Linked DNA regions of Caenorhabditis elegans. The protein of the gene in region 1 interacts with the protein of each later gene in a pairwise test. Each region holds a gene or a part of one and is shown in the gene's direction. Other genes may lie near its edges.

What was found. The genes of interacting proteins can lie anywhere in the genome.
Region 2: the proteins of prkl-1 (region 1) and src-1 interact in a two-hybrid assay, tested with the Caenorhabditis elegans proteins (2 studies listed by BioGRID).
Region 3: the proteins of prkl-1 (region 1) and glp-1 interact in a two-hybrid assay, tested with the Caenorhabditis elegans proteins (one study listed by BioGRID).

Annotation. Positions count from the first base shown.
Region 1 is NC_003282.8:6,983,915-6,988,780, reverse strand, and holds the start of prkl-1 (LIM zinc-binding domain-containing protein), read left to right. Parts: upstream 1-1,845; coding exon 1,846-2,055; intron 2,056-2,233; coding exon 2,234-2,476; intron 2,477-2,571; exon of another isoform or gene 2,572-3,005; intron 3,006-3,446; exon of another isoform or gene 3,447-3,598; intron 3,599-3,871; exon of another isoform or gene 3,872-4,025; intron 4,026-4,233; exon of another isoform or gene 4,234-4,584; intron 4,585-4,709; exon of another isoform or gene 4,710-4,866.
Region 2 is NC_003279.8:1,565,880-1,570,622, forward strand, and holds the start of src-1 (Tyrosine protein-kinase src-1), read left to right. Parts: upstream 1-1,729; coding exon 1,730-1,806; intron 1,807-4,457; coding exon 4,458-4,743. UniProt on the Caenorhabditis elegans protein: Non-receptor tyrosine-protein kinase which plays a role in endoderm development by controlling spindle orientation in EMS blastomere, probably downstream of receptor mes-1.
Region 3 is NC_003281.10:9,090,471-9,098,254, forward strand, and holds the start of glp-1 (glp-1/Notch intracellular domain), read left to right. Parts: upstream 1-1,770; 5' UTR 1,771-1,842; coding exon 1,843-1,982; intron 1,983-2,842; coding exon 2,843-2,958; intron 2,959-3,598; coding exon 3,599-3,661; intron 3,662-4,180; coding exon 4,181-5,089; intron 5,090-5,389; coding exon 5,390-5,630; intron 5,631-5,935; coding exon 5,936-6,671; intron 6,672-7,078; coding exon 7,079-7,551; intron 7,552-7,601; coding exon 7,602-7,784. UniProt on the Caenorhabditis elegans protein: Essential signaling protein which has a major role in germline and embryonic development; involved in cell fate decisions that require cell-cell interactions. Probable membrane-bound receptor for putative ligands lag-2 and apx-1.

The DNA of each region.
Region 1 (4,866 bases):
GGTCTTCTTCTTGGAATTATTACCGTTTTAATAGGCGTTGAAATTCTGTTGGAGCAGGCTTGAGAGCGGAAATTAGAGTTCATAATTAGTATCTTAGTATCTTATAAGAGTTCATAATTAAATAGTAATCTAATCATTACATCTAAGACTTGAAAAAGAGCCCTCAACTTTTGATCTACCGCAACTCTATTCACCTCTATTAGATTAAAACCAACTCCAATACCCTCCAGGGACTTCCAATCTCTAACCGATAACATCTTTAGTACCGATGTATCATAACACCTGTCACCCATAGACACACACACATATATAGACCCTTCCTGGCCGAGATGAGGGGTACATAAACACATGCGGTAAGACTGTTAACCCCGCCCTCAAAATACTGCTTCTCGGTCTGCGTCTCACCCTTCTAGTTGATGTGGGAGGATCCTTGTAGCTTTTGGGTTCTGATGGGAGATATTCCATGCGGTTCCGGTCAACGCCCTCCACATTAGTTTCACTTTTGTTTTAAGTTTTCAATTTTCACAATTTCATTCTTACCGCAAAATGAGTCATTTTTTGTACGCTATACACATTCTGGTGTTCTGGTAGTACAGGGTGTTGTTGCGTTCAATATTGAAATCGTGAAGTGATGGCAATTTCAGAACTGCTACAAGAGCTTGAGCAGAAATCATTTTCATCTTTACAGAAATTTTCAAACTAGGCATTCTACGCCTTCCTATATTTTTTCCAACACACATTTATATTTTCTTACAATAATTTTTCTCCGCTCTCACAAAAGCTCGAGTTACTTGAATATTCGAAATAGTTTTTTCATGGCTCGTTTTTCTCATTTTATTTTTCTCAAAAGATTGTGCCAGCAATTTTTTCCTTAACAACAAATAACAGTTGTAATTACTCAAAAACATTACCCTCGCAATTTATGGCCACCTTGAAACAGTAATAAAATTTTGTGAAAACACTAATACTTCCAAAGGACCTAGAAAATAGTTTATAAAAATATCCTCAAGTACCGAGAGTTTGTGAAAACATGACGTGAGACTTTAAAGGTGTCTTCTACTCCTCTTGATGGATCTTGCCACAATCTCTATAATAGAATAATGCTTCAAATATAAATTATGAAGCGTATGTAATTTTCACATTCTAAAATGCACAGGAACTATCATGGTAAATTTTGTTACTTTTATTACTTTTTTGCGAACACACTACCGCAAAGTCGGAATCAACAGTAAAACTTTAGATTCGTTGAGATCTTAAAGTTCTTCCTTTGAGATGTTCCTATTAATCCATTAGTTACCGTCACTTTTCCGTTATTACCAGTATAATGACAGAGACAAAACGGGGCGGCGTGCGCGACGGCAAACAGTCATTCCTCTATTACAAGGCCATATCAAATTAGCATAAACACACGTCTCCCGATTCTTTACTATTTTTCATTCTTCAACGGGACGTCGTCTTCTAGTTGAAGATTTCGGAATCTTTTTCTCTAATTGAATCAACATTACGAAGAAGACGATGTCCTTTTCTGCAGTGAAATGAGAAATGAAACGGTCAGATGTCGTCGTGGGGATTTACGGGGCAATGGAGAGACCGGTCTAGTTTTGTGGATGATGGTGATGGTGTTGCCAAAGTGATTGACATTTTTATATGGCAGCAAAAAGGTTATAGAGAGGGACTGGTCTTCTTTTCACACTTAACACTTAACACACCCTTTTTTGGAGGCTTTTTTGAAGTGATTTTGCATACACTATTTTTCTTTTTTTCCAAGTCAACCTCAACTTTATCGTATAATTTGCCATTCTCTTATGAAAATGTGTTATTTTCAATTCATAGTCCCTATTTCAGATGAGCGAACGAATTCGCCGTCGTCGTCTCGAAGCATCGGAGCAATTCGCACCGCAGCTCATCTCATCACGTCGAGCTCAAGGTGGTCTATCGCCTGCTTCGAGAATCCGAATTGCAGCTGATGCTCACAGGCATTCAACATCTGATGATGACAGTGGATGTGCTTTGGACGAGTATGCATGGGTGCCTAGTGGTCTGAAGCCGAATATGGTAAGTATAGAGATTTTGAATGATCTCGTGTGCAATAAAGAACAATTGAATTAGGTTTTTGAACACCAAAACCTAGACCAATTAAAATGTTCACAACCTGTGGACCGTTCAAAACAGATGGTTTTTTGTGCACTTCAAATACTGATTCAAATTCAAATTCAAATTCAAATTCTTACAGGTTCATGCCTACTTCGCCTGTCTCCCGGAAAACAAGGTACCATTCATTGGATCAGCTGGAGAAAAATGGCGACAACGTCAATCACGTTATCAACTACCACCACAGGATTCTGATGTTAGATATTGTGAAGATTTAAATGCAGAAGAAGCGGATACATTGCGAATGTTTGAAAGAACTCGAAAAACTGAATGCCTGGGAAGTGGTGTTGTTCAATATGCTCCATTTGATACAAAATGTGAAAAGGTTAGTATTTTCCATCAAAATTTGTTTGGTTTTATTGAAAAATCGTCACCCGGCCTTATTATGACATTCGACCCATTTGAGCACAACCGTAAATCTTGCCAAACTGTGGCGTATGAAACCATAAACAACATTTTCTTTTTCGTCTTTCCGCACCATCCCCAAAACTCATAAATCTTTATGCGCGAGCGCTCTCTTTCCGCGCACCATCATCTATGCTTATGCTGGGATGCTCCTCATCATCATCTTCACGGCTTCTTTTTTGTCGGGCGGCTTTTTGCCTTTGCATTCCCAACGTGTAGGCACTGTCTTACACTTGAGAATAAACAATGACGGAAATTTGAGAAAGGTCATGCTCATTAACAACGGCGAGGGCCGTCTGCTCTCGGATAGTCCCACTTACGAGAGTGCGGCAAAAAAGTTCTGAAGAATGAGAAGAAGAGGTTGTTGACCTCGATGGGGGAAGCCAGCTGCTTAGGTGTTAGATTTTTGTACGGCATGAGAATAGTTGCAGCAACTTGAAAGGGACAAATGGAATCATGAAAATTCGTCGAAAAATAAACCTTTTTTTTTTAATTTTCTGATATCGTTTTTGAAGGTATCGTCAGTACCGTAAAAAAAGCTTCTATGTATAGTGTTAAAATGTTCAAATAAATTTTTGATTTTATTTTACATACAGTCAAAAAGTGGGAAAAACTCATTTTTCATTACTATAATTTTGGAAGGCGTTCAAAAATACTTTCTACGAGTTTCCAATTTCGTTTTAATCGTTTGTATTTAAACATTTTAGTTGTACGAACCTGCTATTTAAACATTCTAGTAGTACGAAACTATGCTCAAAATTTATTTTTTTAAATTTTAACATTTTTTGAAACAATACACCCATACTTTAACTGAAACTTTGAAAAAACTGAACATTTTTGAAGTATTTAAATTATGATATGTGGTTTTTTGTGTTATAATAAGTGGATTTCGAATAAATCTCCACTGACGATAATTTCATTCAATGGCAACCGACTGTCTGCAATTATTATTGCAACATCTAAATATTGGAGAGAAATAGAGAAACAGAGATAGAGTCATAGACAATATGCAATTATTGTCAATGTTCATCCATCTTTCTTTTACTACGAAGCTCCGGCTGTTTGTCAGAGGAGAAGCTGAGCAGCAGCAGTCACTGCTAATTACCTATGCATCGTTACATGTTTATTAATAGGAGAGACAACGGGGCTCATTGTTGGGGTTAGCTTGGATTTTCGTTTTAGGAATTTAGAATTTTTGCTTTTGAATTTCCAAGGGTTGCTAGGGGTCTAGCTTAAGTTAGTAAATGTAAATGTTATGTACAGTAATATACTCAATTTCCGCTCCTTCTGCTCGTTCTCTTTAGTTTGTTCATTGAGTTATAATCTGATTAGAGCCGTCTCAGTGTTAATCTAATCCGGTCATGGGTAGATGGTAGGTAGATCAAACAAAGCTTCTTCCGATATGCGCGCGCGGGGCGTTTTGATCTAAACACTACTCATAACAAGATTAACAAGGAAAATGAGAAGGAAAGCAAGAAGTCAATTATAGGGTGAAAGAAACAGTATATTTTTGGAAGGGAAGTGCCGAACAGATGGTCTTCCTGGGTGCCATGTTACCATGTCATCAATCACTTTTCTTAGAGGATCCCTCTCATAGTCAGGGGTTTTCGCGCATTTGATACCCTTCGCCCAGTTGGTTGCCCCTCCAAGTATCTGGTTTGAAGACCTGAATTAGGAGACATGGGAACATCTGCCTTTTGTAGACAATTCAGGCAGTGTCATGTTGTTTTCTGAATTGGATGTGTCAGTTCCAATTGTTACCCGTGTGCGTGTCAAGGGTACTTGTTAGTTGTTGATAGTTTACAAGTAATTATCGCCGAATATTGAGGATTAGCTGAGTACAAGAACTTGGAAAACAAAAGTATTGAAGTTGTGAAATAGGTAGGTACGTCTTCACTACCTTTCTACGTGCCTCCCAGGCGTAGGCAGAAGACAGGCAGTTTTTCCCTAGGATTACCCTGTCACGTTTTTCTGTTTAGAGGTGTCTGTTGCCTAATCCATTTCAAAATTTTAGGTGTCTGGTTGTCAGATTAGACGCGAGGTCTTATCAACTTATGGTTGTACATGTCTGTTGTTAATGCGGAGGTTACTTAACTTATAACAGAAGAGAAAATTCACAATGTGCACACTTTAAACAACTGAGAATTTAAATATTTGATTCTTAAAAATAAATTTAAATTACAACTACCAACAAAGATTCTAAGACGGTCAAGAGGGTAGCAGTAGGGGCATACCATCTTGTATTTACATAACTATAGAAACACATGGAGAAACTGAACCACCGGCTGGAGGATGCACTTGACCGTATAA
Region 2 (4,743 bases), on another chromosome or scaffold:
AATATGAGTACAATTCGGACAATTTTTGCGTATCAGTCGTAAAATTCGTAAATTTTCGATCATAAGTTGTTATTGAAATTGATCATAACTTAATGGAAAACATGAGAAAAAACCTGTTCGAAAATTAGTTTTGCATCAAATTAGGTGTCCGAAAATTAGTTTTGCATGCCTTACTAATAGAGGAAATACGGTAAAAGTTATGGCGGCTCAAAAAATGGCCGACATTTTTTTAAATTTTTTATCCAAATTTCGCCGTCCATCGACTTTATAATACCTAAATGAAGTTGAAAACGCAGGATAATTACATTGTATACTCAAAATTTGACGGTGAATTCAAAAAAGTTAATTTCCAGCCGCTTGACAAGTCGGTCAAATTTCAAAATTTAACTTATCTTAGGCCATTTTTTGAGCCGCCATAACTTTTACCGTATTTCCTCTATTAGTAAGGCATGCAAAACTAATTTTCGGACACCTAATTTGATGCAAAACTAATTTTCGAACAGGTTTTTTCTCATGTTTTCCATTAAGTTATGATCAATTTCAATAACAACTTATGATCGAAAATTTACGAATTTTACGACTGATACGCAAAAATTGTCCGAATTGTACTCATATTTTGTCAATTTTGACTTGTCATACCAAGTCTGTAAGAGTTTTCCTAATTTTTAGAACGATTTTATTATGCAAATTTTGAATTCCTAAACATAGGGAACAAATTGAGGGGGTGCAAAACTAATAGAGGAAATACGGTATTTGGAGAAGTTTTCAAGAAGTTTCATTATGAAATTCGATGTTTTCAGACAATTTTGAGTATATTAAAGAAATTTAAAAAAAAATTCAACTACACCACCTTTAAATACAAAAATACTGATTCTGTTGGGAAAATATTGTAAATTTCTTCAAAAAATTGATAATTTTCGCGTTTTTTCTGAATAAATTCCAAGCGTCAGAGTTTATTTAAAACATATTTACTACCCCTCCATTTTCACTTTTTCCTCTAAAATCTCGTTTTTTTAAAATCAAATTCCCGCCAAAATTTCCTCATTTTCAGAAAAAAAACCTCGAAAATAAGAAGAAGAAGCAACCATTCCATATGCATGCTCAATAATTGTTGTTTGCACAAAAATACTGGTGTCTTGTGTGAGTTTTTTTGGAAAATTCAGAAAATTTTCACTGAAAATTACAAAACCTGACAATTTTTGAATTTCGCGACGATTCAAGTATTTCACATGGTGTCAGAGTGTCACATTTCGGCTTGATCTACGTTGATCTACAAAAAATGCGGGAAAACGGGACGCTGACTTCTCATCTGATTTTGTATGGTTAAGACCGTCCTGACGTCACATTTTTTGGGCAAAAAATTGCCGCATTTTTTGTAGATCAAACCGTGATGGGACAGGCTGGCACCACGTGATATTTGCAAATTGTAAATTTTAATATATATTAAAATTAACAAATTTTTTGAAATTTGTTTGAAAATTCTGCTTGTACAGTCTTTTTTTGCAGTTTTCCAGTTGTGGAAATGTCAAAAAAAAATTAAATTGACAGAGATTTTTCAGTTAAAAAAATTTAAAAAAAAAAAACGAAAAAATTCACAAACAATTTTTCGACAAACCGGCAAATTGCCGAAAATGAAAATTTCCGGCAAACCGGCAATTTGCTGATTTGCCGAACGAACGAGGCAACCCCAGTAACATTTTCCTGAAATAATTTTTTTTCAGAATAAATAATGGGTTGCCTGTTTTCAAAAGAGCGGCGATCGGGAGGCAGTGATATGGGTGTTTCCGAACGGATAGATGTCTCCAGGTAACTATTTTATAGAGAAATGTATTATTTTTTTGGAGACAATCAACTTTTTTTTTAGATAAAAAGTGCAAAAATTAAATACAGATTTGAAAAAAAACCGATTTTCCGGTTTGGTTTAATTTTTGGTAAAAATTTGAAATTATTGATTTTTAGTTAAAAATTAGAAATCATTGATTTTTCGATAAAAAATCATAAATTATTGACTTTTCAATTAAAATAGGAAATTTAGCTATTCTAAATCTACATAAAGCATGATATTTTATGCATTTACATGGTGGTGAGCGGAAATCCCCCGTTTTGCCGGAACTTTTCAATTCCGAAAATTTGCCCGTTTCACATTTCGATAATTCGGCAGTGATCAACAGTTGTTAGATTTTCGGCATTTTCTCAGCAAGTAAGTGCCCGATCCCAACAAATTCCGGCAATTTGACATTACTGAGTTCCAAAGAATTTTGAAAAAAAAAACGAGATCCCTACTGTAGTAAATGTTTTTATTAGAAATTTTTTTTTCTGGAATTTTTTAATCGAGACTGAACTCTTTTACAATTTCGAGTGTATTTTTTTGGAAAAAATGTATAGAATTTAAAAATGTATCATTTTCTCTGTCCCGTCTTTTTTTATAGAAAGTTTGCTTTATTTTTAGGCTATTTTTAGGCCAATGTTGTTTTCTAAGCCTAAAAATGAAAATAGTATTAAGATGAACATGTGCATTAAAATTGAAATATTGAATGTTTAAAATTATTTAGTGCTCACTTTTTCCGAAAAAAAAAATATATAAATAGAATAATCTCAGAAGAAAAACTATGGCATCATTTTTGCCCAATTAGATGCCAACGATGTCTTTAAAAAATTATATATATATATATATATATATATCTTTTTTTTTAAAAACATTTAAAGACATCTATTTGGGCAAAAATGATGCCATAGTTTTTCTTCTGAGATTATTCTATTTATATATATTTTTTTTCGGAAAAAGTGAGCACTAAATAATTTTAAACATTCAATATTTCAATTTTAATGCACATGAGAATGTTCATATATGTACTTCCTTTTCTATAAAAAAAATTTGATTGTTTGCCCACCTAAAAATGCACTAACAACGCGTCAATTCGCGTATTATATTTTTTTTAAAGGTGGAGTAGCGCCAGTGGGGAAATTGCTTTTAAACATGCCTATGATACCACAATGACCGAATATCATGGTTAAAAAATTCAAAAAAAAATTTCTAAATTTTATATGATTTTTTGAAAATTGAAAAAATCTCAGTTTTGCCTAATTTTTTGTTTTGCCTAGATTTGTTCGGTGGAGCGCGCTTGCACGCTTTTATTTTTATTTATTGTTATTTTTTTATATTTTCCACCGATTTTCAATGTTTTCAGTGTATTTTTGTCTGAAATTTGAAGAAAAAGTCAAAATAAATGCAAATGTTCGATTAAAAAGCATTTAAACGACGATTTCGAAACCTGAATTAATTAATTTCAAAGATTTACGCTTGTGAAGTAGCTTTTTAATCAAAAATTAGCATTTATTTCGACTTTTTCTTCAAATTTCAGACAAAAATACACTGAAAACATGGAAAATCGGTGGAAAATATAAAAAAAAAAACAATGAATAAAAATAAAAAATGTGCAAGCGCGGCGCTCCACCGAACAAATCCAATTGGGGGTAATTCAAAATTCAAATAGGAATTATTAGGCAAAAATCTTTTTTTTACCATTTTTTAATTTTCAAAAAATCATATAAAATTTTTTTGAATTTTTTTATCATGGTATTCGGACATTGTGACCCCATCACTGCAACTTTTTCCTCACGAGAGACAAGGAAAAGTGGTTTCTAGGCCATGGCCGAGGGGCCGACAAGTTTCAGCGGCCATTTATCTTGCTTTGTTTTCCGCCTATTTTCTTTCGTTTTTCATCGATTTTTTTCGTTTTTTCTTAATAAAACTGATAAATAAATATTTTTTGCAGATGCTAAAACAATTTCCAAGTAAAAAAATCATGTATTCAGTGGGCAAGCAGCGGTGAAAGTAGTCGATGTAATATGATGGATTACGGGAATACAAAACCTAAACTTTTTCTGAAACATGATACATATGATGCTTAGATGCTTAAATTACCTGATTTTCATAACGAGACCGCTGAAAAAGTTTTGAGGTTTTCAAAATTCAATTGTTTTTGGTGAAAAAGTAGAGATTTTCGCACAAAATGTTGAATTTTAAAAATCTCTAAACTTTTTCAGCGGTCTCGTTATGAAAATCAGGTAGTCTCAGCATTTAAGCAGCATATGTATCATGTTTCAGAAAACGTTTAGGTTTTGTATTCCCGTAATCCATCATATTACATCGACCACTTTCACCGCTGCTTGCCCACTGAATACATGATTTTTTTTACTTGGAAATTGTTTTAGCATCTGCAAAAAATATTTATTTATCAGTTTTATTAAGAAAAAACGAAAAAAATCGATGAAAAACGAAAGAAAACAGGCGGAAAACAAAGCAAGATAAATGGCCGCTGAAACTTGTCGGCCCCTCGGCCATGGCCTAGAAACCACTTTTCCTCGTCCCTCGTGAGGAAAAAGTTGCAGTGGCTACTCCACCTTTAATTATTTTTCCATTTTTTTTCCGTACACTTCCCCCATTACCCAAAAAGATATCCACGCAGATTCCAAACGCCCCAACAACAGACAGTATTCCACGTGAATAACGGTGGAAACGAGGGAACCATCTCTCAACTAAACGGAACATCAGACGGAATGATGGGAAATGGACGTGGTGGTGGTGGTGGAGGAGGAGCACAGGAACGTGAGACTCTGGTCGCCCTCTATCCATACGATTCACGTGCCGACGGGGATCTTAGCTTTCAAAAAGGCGATGCTATGTACCTATTGGATCATTCGAATTGTGATTGGTGGTATGTTCGACACCAACGAACCGGA
Region 3 (7,784 bases), on another chromosome or scaffold:
CTGTACAAAACCCATTTTATGGAAACATTCAGAATCCCCAATACTTTTTCTCTTTTCTCACATGACCTTATAGTTTATCTTCCGAATGCTGAATGTTTTTTCTTCAGTACAAATGTTTTGAATACCTAGGTAACCTCGAGTATGAGAAACAACATTAACAATGTTTTGGGAGAAACATGTAGTTTTGTACGTCCGGTCCAGTGAGAGTTTTCAACTTATTTTGGAAGAAATTTTTTTTTGACAAAATTTTGCAATTTCCCACGCAGAAATACGGTATGCCCCGTATCTCGCCACGAACATAATATTTTAAATTGACGGAAAGGTGTGCGCCTTTAAGAAGCACAGTAACCATTTTCCGGTTTTTTTTTTGAAATTGCCTTTGATTTTTACTTTTTTCTCCCAAAAACGAGAAATTTAATATAATCCATCAAAATCTTTGTGAACGAGAGAAATATAGTGAAAAACTCAAAGAAAATTGCGAAATGGATTACTGTACTCCATAAAGGCGCACATCTTTTCGAAAAATCGTGAAAAATTGCATCTGACCAACAGTTTTGCGTGGAATCTTCCTAGATTCAAATTTCCTATGAGTCATAAAACTATCATTTTATCGGACAATAACTACACGTGTACCTTGTTTCCATATGTTCTACCAATATAATTTGTGTTCATATGTGGCCAGGTACGGGAAATTAGAACACGGACTGATTTAGGAAGGTTCAAATTCGAGAACAATGGACGACTTGCTGCACGAAAACGTGGATTATTCTGAAACCGCCTATGTGATCACTATCGATTTAGCACTTCGGTTTTCTTTTTCCGTTTTCCTTTATATTCCGTATTGTATGCCGACAATAACGCTTTTTCTTTGTATAAACATTTCCAGAAGCAGAGCAAATTTGTTTATTCCAGAATTGACTGAATATTGAAATAATGTTTACAGACATACTGTAGATTTTTTTCTATTCAAACATGAATACAGTTTTTCGTATTTTTAATCTTCAGATAAGTTTTGTGTGTGTTTTTGAGAATAATATTTAAAAAAGATAAGCAAATATCAGAACTACGGTAAGCGAAGGGGTACGGTCGTCAATTGCGGACTTCCGAGCTGTGCACGGCGCCAAAATTTATTTTGAGTTTTAAAATGATTTTCTTTGTTTTTTTTTCTTTTTTTGACACGATAAGAACATTTTTCTGTATTTCTAATATTTTAAATGAGATCGTAATAAGTTTATTTAGCTCCATCACATTATTTTCGGAATATTCATCGCTTGAAAACGGCGTAAAATAGGTTCCAAGTAAATCATTGCAAACAAATCTCCGTTTATCGTTCTAACAAAGTTTTTCGTTCACTTTCTTATGTAAATCGTTTTCCCCACTTCTTCTTCACGGGAATGATCAATTGAAAGGCCATAAATTGGTTGTTTTCTCCACATTTCGCAACCAACATGCAGCTGTCGGATAGGCAATAAAATAATGTAATCAATGAGTTTTCCGATTTATCCTAACAGTTCTTTTTCTAGTGTTCCTATTCGAAAAAAGTACTGTTATCCTTCTTTTTGGACCGCCCATCTCAGGTGTCAAGACAATCGCAACACACTCAGAAAATGGGCGGAGTATGCCACCCGGCCTTCATTCGTCGCTCCTTGTCTTCTCCATTTTCGTTTTTTTCCTGTTCTCCGTTCTTTTTTTGTACTTTTGTGATAATGCTGAAGTGTTCTTTTTTTTCGCTTAACCGCATCTCTTGATTTAATTCATATTTTCTTTCAGATTCATGTACAATAACACCAAGAGCTGCTCTAACAACTAATAATAACAGAATCTCGAACAGCGAACACAACAATGCGAGTTCTTCTAATTTTACTCGCGTTTTTTGCGCCAATCGCCAGTCAACTTATGGGTGGAGAATGCGGAAGGGAAGGTGCTTGCTCCGTCAATGGAAAATGCTATAATGGAAAACTGATTGAGACATACTGGTGCCGGTAAGCATATATTTCATTCTCCCATGTCAATGTTATTCATCCGCTTTCTCATGAACCGTGACGAAAAGAACAAAAAAAAGAAAGTTTGGGCAGGTGGTGGTGGTGGGAAACAGGCGATAGATAAACAAAAGCTTGGTGTAGAGAACATTTTGAATAATATCCGAAAGTTGAATTATCACTGTCCATATTTCCCTCTAAGACATCATTAAACGCCACCCGGCTTGCAGAATGGGAACACAATGAACAGCAGGAGGCTGTCACAATGTAAAATCTCGTAAATCGTTCGGGAAATCTAAAAAATTGTTATTTAGTTTTCCCTTTTCTCTACAAACAATTCATTTTTCTTATCAATAACTTTGAGTTCCAAAGGCAAAATTTACAGCCGTTTACAGCCATCTTCCCAGGGTTGTCGGCGAATTTATATGGACGTTCATAAAACAATTGGATTAGCGTGTCGGTTCTTTAATCTTGTCTTTTCTTATTACTATCTAGCTCGTTTGATTAGTTATACAGAGAGTATCAACGTATTTATCGATAGGAAAATTGCGCCATGATGCTCTAAAATACATAAAATCGCTCGATTTATCTGAAAATAACACTTATTTCAGCTTAAAAATGTGAGAAAATGGTCCAAAATTGTCTGAAAGTTGTTGAGTGAATTATCGAGATTTGTTTTCTGATCACTTTCACGAATATATCAGCTGAAAAATTGTTATTTTCAAGTAAATCGATATATTTTGCCACGATTTTTGATTAAAAATACTGTAATTTATTGATTGTCACCCACCACTGGCCCACAGTCATAAATTGTCTCAATTGAATTACTTTTCAGTTTAAAAATAATTTAATCAAATTTACAGTTGCAAAAAAGGATTCGGAGGTGCTTTCTGTGAACGTGAATGCGATTTGGATTGTAAACGAGGCGAGAAGTGCATCTACGATGTTTATGGTGAAAATCCGACGTGTATCTGTCAAGGTAATTTTGTGAATCCTAAAATCTGTTAAATATCATAATATTTTGCCCGAAACGACCTATTTTCATAATGGGACTTCTCAAATCTTTAAATCAAATTATCGCCTTTTTGCATAGTTTGATAAATACTTTATCTCGATTCAAGTGTATTCTAATCAATCATTTTAAGATTTTAAACGTTTCAAATTCAAAATTTTGTTCCATGTTTTACTTCCACCTTTTTCTTCATCTGCCCTTTTTCATAGCGGCAATCTTTTTCACCACATCATCCATCATCACACTGCGAGTGTATTTTTCTTTGATTGTGCCCGACTTGTACGCAATTTTTTGTTTCAGGATATATCAAAATTTCGAAAACTTATTAGGGAAAACACGCGACCATACGTATAATAATTCTCCCGGGAGATCCCAACATTGACAAATTGTACCGCATTCGTGGTATCCTATTTTTCATTTCTACGCTCTCAAAATGACCGCTAGTGATAGATAGCTTCTACTAGGTCATATTCGCACATCTTCATCGCCTTTGTCATGCGATTTATTGCAAATGTTCGGTTTCATTGCGCGGGGGCAGTAGTATAAATCAAGCAGATGTTGTTACACAGACAGCCATGAGAAAATATTTATAAGTTTTATTATTCAGATTGCGAAGACGAGACTCCTCCAACAGAACGTACTCAAAAAGGCTGTGAAGAAGGCTATGGAGGTGAGTAAAGTTTGGATAATGTATGATTACTAATAGTCAATGACTTTGTATCACAATTATTGTTGTTTTGAGCAACAATTGACAGCTATTTTAATTTTTAAAAAGTTGCAAAATTGTTTTTTTTTCAATTTTATATTTTTCGAAAACACAAAGGACCAATGAAATTATCAGATTTTAAAAAATATAGTAAAAAATAAATTAAATATATTTAATTTAATTTAACATATTCTAATAAGAAATGCGCGAGATCCAAGTCTCCCACTGTGATAACTTTTTCCATCTGTTGTCGGAACCGATTTGATCTCAAATAAATCAAAATATTGCGTGTTCTTTTTCTCTATTTTACCGTAATGAGATTGACACCTTTCTCATCTCAAAGGAAATAATCGGCGGTTGGGGGTAATGAGGTGTGAATGGCTATTAGGAAAAACAAACTTCCGCCGGAATTTGAATTTAAATTCCACTTTTTTTAAAAAGAAGACAAAGGCCTATCCGTGATTAATACATTAATATTTTCAGGTCCTGACTGCAAAACTCCTCTATTTTCGGGAGTAAATCCATGCGATTCGGATCCTTGCAACAACGGACTCTGCTATCCATTCTATGGTGGATTTCAGTGCATATGCAACAATGGATATGGAGGATCGTATTGTGAAGAAGGAATCGATCATTGTGCTCAAAATGAATGCGCAGAAGGTTCAACGTGTGTCAATAGTGTATACAACTATTACTGTGATTGCCCAATTGGAAAATCCGGTCGATATTGTGAACGAACTGAATGTGCTTTGATGGGAAACATTTGCAATCATGGAAGATGTATTCCGAACAGAGATGAAGACAAGAACTTCAGATGTGTATGCGACTCGGGATACGAGGGAGAATTTTGCAATAAGGATAAAAACGAATGCCTCATCGAAGAAACGTGTGTTAACAACTCTACATGTTTCAATTTGCACGGTGATTTTACTTGTACCTGTAAACCTGGATACGCTGGAAAGTATTGCGAGGAGGCTATCGACATGTGCAAGGATTACGTTTGCCAAAATGATGGATACTGTGCCCATGACTCGAATCAGATGCCAATTTGTTATTGCGAACAAGGATTCACTGGACAACGATGTGAGATTGAGTGTCCTTCAGGATTCGGGGGAATTCATTGTGATCTTCCACTACAGAGACCACACTGCTCTCGGAGCAATGGAACGTGTTACAACGATGGAAGATGTATAAATGGTTTCTGTGTCTGTGAACCTGATTATATTGGAGATCGATGTGAGATTAATAGGAAAGATTTCAAGTTCCCAGATATTCAGTCATGCAAATACAATCCGTGTGTGAATAATGCGACTTGTATCGATCTCAAAAACAGTGGATATTCATGTCATTGTCCGCTTGGATTCTATGGATTGAACTGCGAGCAACATTTGTGTAAGTTCGAAAATTTTATTTTTATATACGACAAACGCGCCTTTAAAGAGTACTGTAGTTTCAAACGGTGAAATTTTCATCAATTTTTCAGCTTTTTAACATCAAATCTACATAGACTACACAGACTTAAATTTTGAAAAATCAATGGCAATCCCGGAGCAAGGAGAGTTTTTAAACTACAGTACTCTTTAGGAGCGCACATTTTTTCGCATTTAACAAAATTTTTGTCGTGGCGAGACCTGATACCGTATTTTTAGCTCAAGATTACTAGGCAGCATTCTTAATATCAACAAACTTCAGTGTGCACTCCAACTACATGTGCTAACGGAGGTACTTGTGAAGGTGTGAATGGCGTTATCAGATGTAACTGCCCCAACGGATTCTCTGGAGATTACTGCGAAATAAAGGATAGACAGTTATGCTCCAGACATCCATGCAAGAACGGAGGAGTTTGTAAGAATACTGGATATTGCGAATGCCAATATGGATACACTGGACCCACTTGTGAAGAAGTTCTAGTTATCGAGAAATCAAAAGAGACGTTAGTTTTCTTGGATACTATAAAGAATGCAGCCCAGAAAAATAATTTATTGAAGTAAAAAGCGGTTTCAATGAAATAAATACCTAATTTTAGCTCAAATCTCTAATTTTGCCAGCTTCGGTTTGTGTGACACGGGGAAGGTGTTAAATAAAATTTCTTTAGCTAAAATAAGGCTGTCTTTTTCCAAGATTTGAACTGCCATGATTTATTTGGAATTATTTTTTTGAGCCACTTGGAGTATAATGACGATGAAGATAAAATTCCTTCAAAATTTGTATTCAAGGTATTAAATGTGAACATTTCAGTGTCATTCGTGATCTATGCGAGCAACGAAAGTGTATGGATCTTGCTTCCAATGGTATTTGCAACCCGGAATGCAATTTGGAAGAATGTAATTTTGATGGAGGTGATTGCTCAGGAGGGCAAAGACCATTCTCCAAATGTCAATACCCTGCAAGATGTGCTGATCAATTCGCAAATGGAGTCTGTAATCAGGAATGCAATAATGAAGAATGTCTTTACGATGGATTGGACTGTCAATCAGAGTTATTTCGATGCCCAGCTCATATTCGGAAACATTGTATTGAAAGACGAGGCGATGGAGTTTGTAATTTAGAATGCAGTTTCATTGGATGTGGTTTTGACGGTGGAGATTGCAATAACGGAACAGAAGCAATAATCCTCAGTGATATTCGTATAAAAGTTCAAATTGATCCTATTGAATTCCAAGCTACCGGAGGAGAAACACTAATGCAAATCAGTGCAAATCTTCGAGCAACCGTACGTATTCAACGGGATGAACTTGGACCTCTTGTATTCAGATGGGATGGTGAACATGAAATGGAAAGAGTTGAGATGAATAGTAGCAAGCTCGAAGATCAATTTGTACTTTCGCATCACGTTCGCAGGTATCGGCAAGCTGTTGTCACTGGAATTGTCTTGTATTTGGAAGTCGAAGAAATATGTAAACCCGAGTTTTGCCGATTTTCAACAGCGCAAAGTGTCGTTGATTTGATTGCTGCTGGACTTGTGAAGTCTGATGTAAGTTATTTTTATGTGGAGTACGGCACCGGGCTGGAAACAAAATAATTTGGACCGAAATAACAAAAAAAATTAAATTTGTGAAAAATCCAAAAAGGTAGATTTCCGGTTCACTTTTCACTTTTTAGAAGAAAATCATCCGCGTTTTGCTAAAAATATTTGTAAAACATAAAAAAATGTTTGAAGTACAGAAAATTAGTTTTTGAATCCAAAACCAAAAAAACAATTTTTCGTCAAAATATCAAAAAGTCCCAGCACTGGTGGGGCTTAAAATCTATTTTTATGGTGATAAAATGACCAAATATAATTTTTAAAAATTAGAAAAATTTTATAGTATATTTCGAGCCAAAAAGCGGTGAACCTTTAATTGTTTGAGTTATGGAAAATAATAATTAAAACATTTTCAGGGTCGTATGTCTCTGGGTCTCCCAATTACGGAAGCAATGGTAGCTGTTCCAAAGAGAAACGAAATCGATGAAGGATGGTCTCGCAGTCAAGTTATTCTGTTTGCATGTATTGCATTTTTGGCTTTTGGAACTGTTGTCGCTGGTGTTATCGCAAAGAATGGTCCAGAAAGAAGTAGAAAAAGAAAAATGGTGAACGCAACAGTCTGGATGCCTCCGATGGAATCAACGAACGAGAAAGGTCGTCGGAATCAGTCAAATCATTCGAGTCAGTGCTCTCTTCTTGACAATTCTGCCTACTATCACCCCAATACCAAGAGACACTGTAGCGATTATAGTACCGGCTACAATGGAGAACAATATTCACAGATTTATCCACAAACTCTCGCAAATGGATATCCCGGTGATTACAACGAATTGAACTTTGACTTTCAATCTGAGACGTTCGCACCAGCTGATCTACCAGCCGACGAAATGTGAGTGAATCTTTATAGTTTTATTATAATTATTGTTATGTTTCTTTCAGCCCTCTCCATGTTCAAGCTGCAGGACCAGATGCGATTACAGCTCCAATCACAAATGAGTCAGTCAATCAAGTGGATTCAAAGTATAGACGACGAGTTCTGCACTGGCTTGCTGCCAATGTCAGAGGAAAACCGGAAGATGTCATTACAACAGAGGCAATTCGATGCTTGAAGGCTGGAGCCGA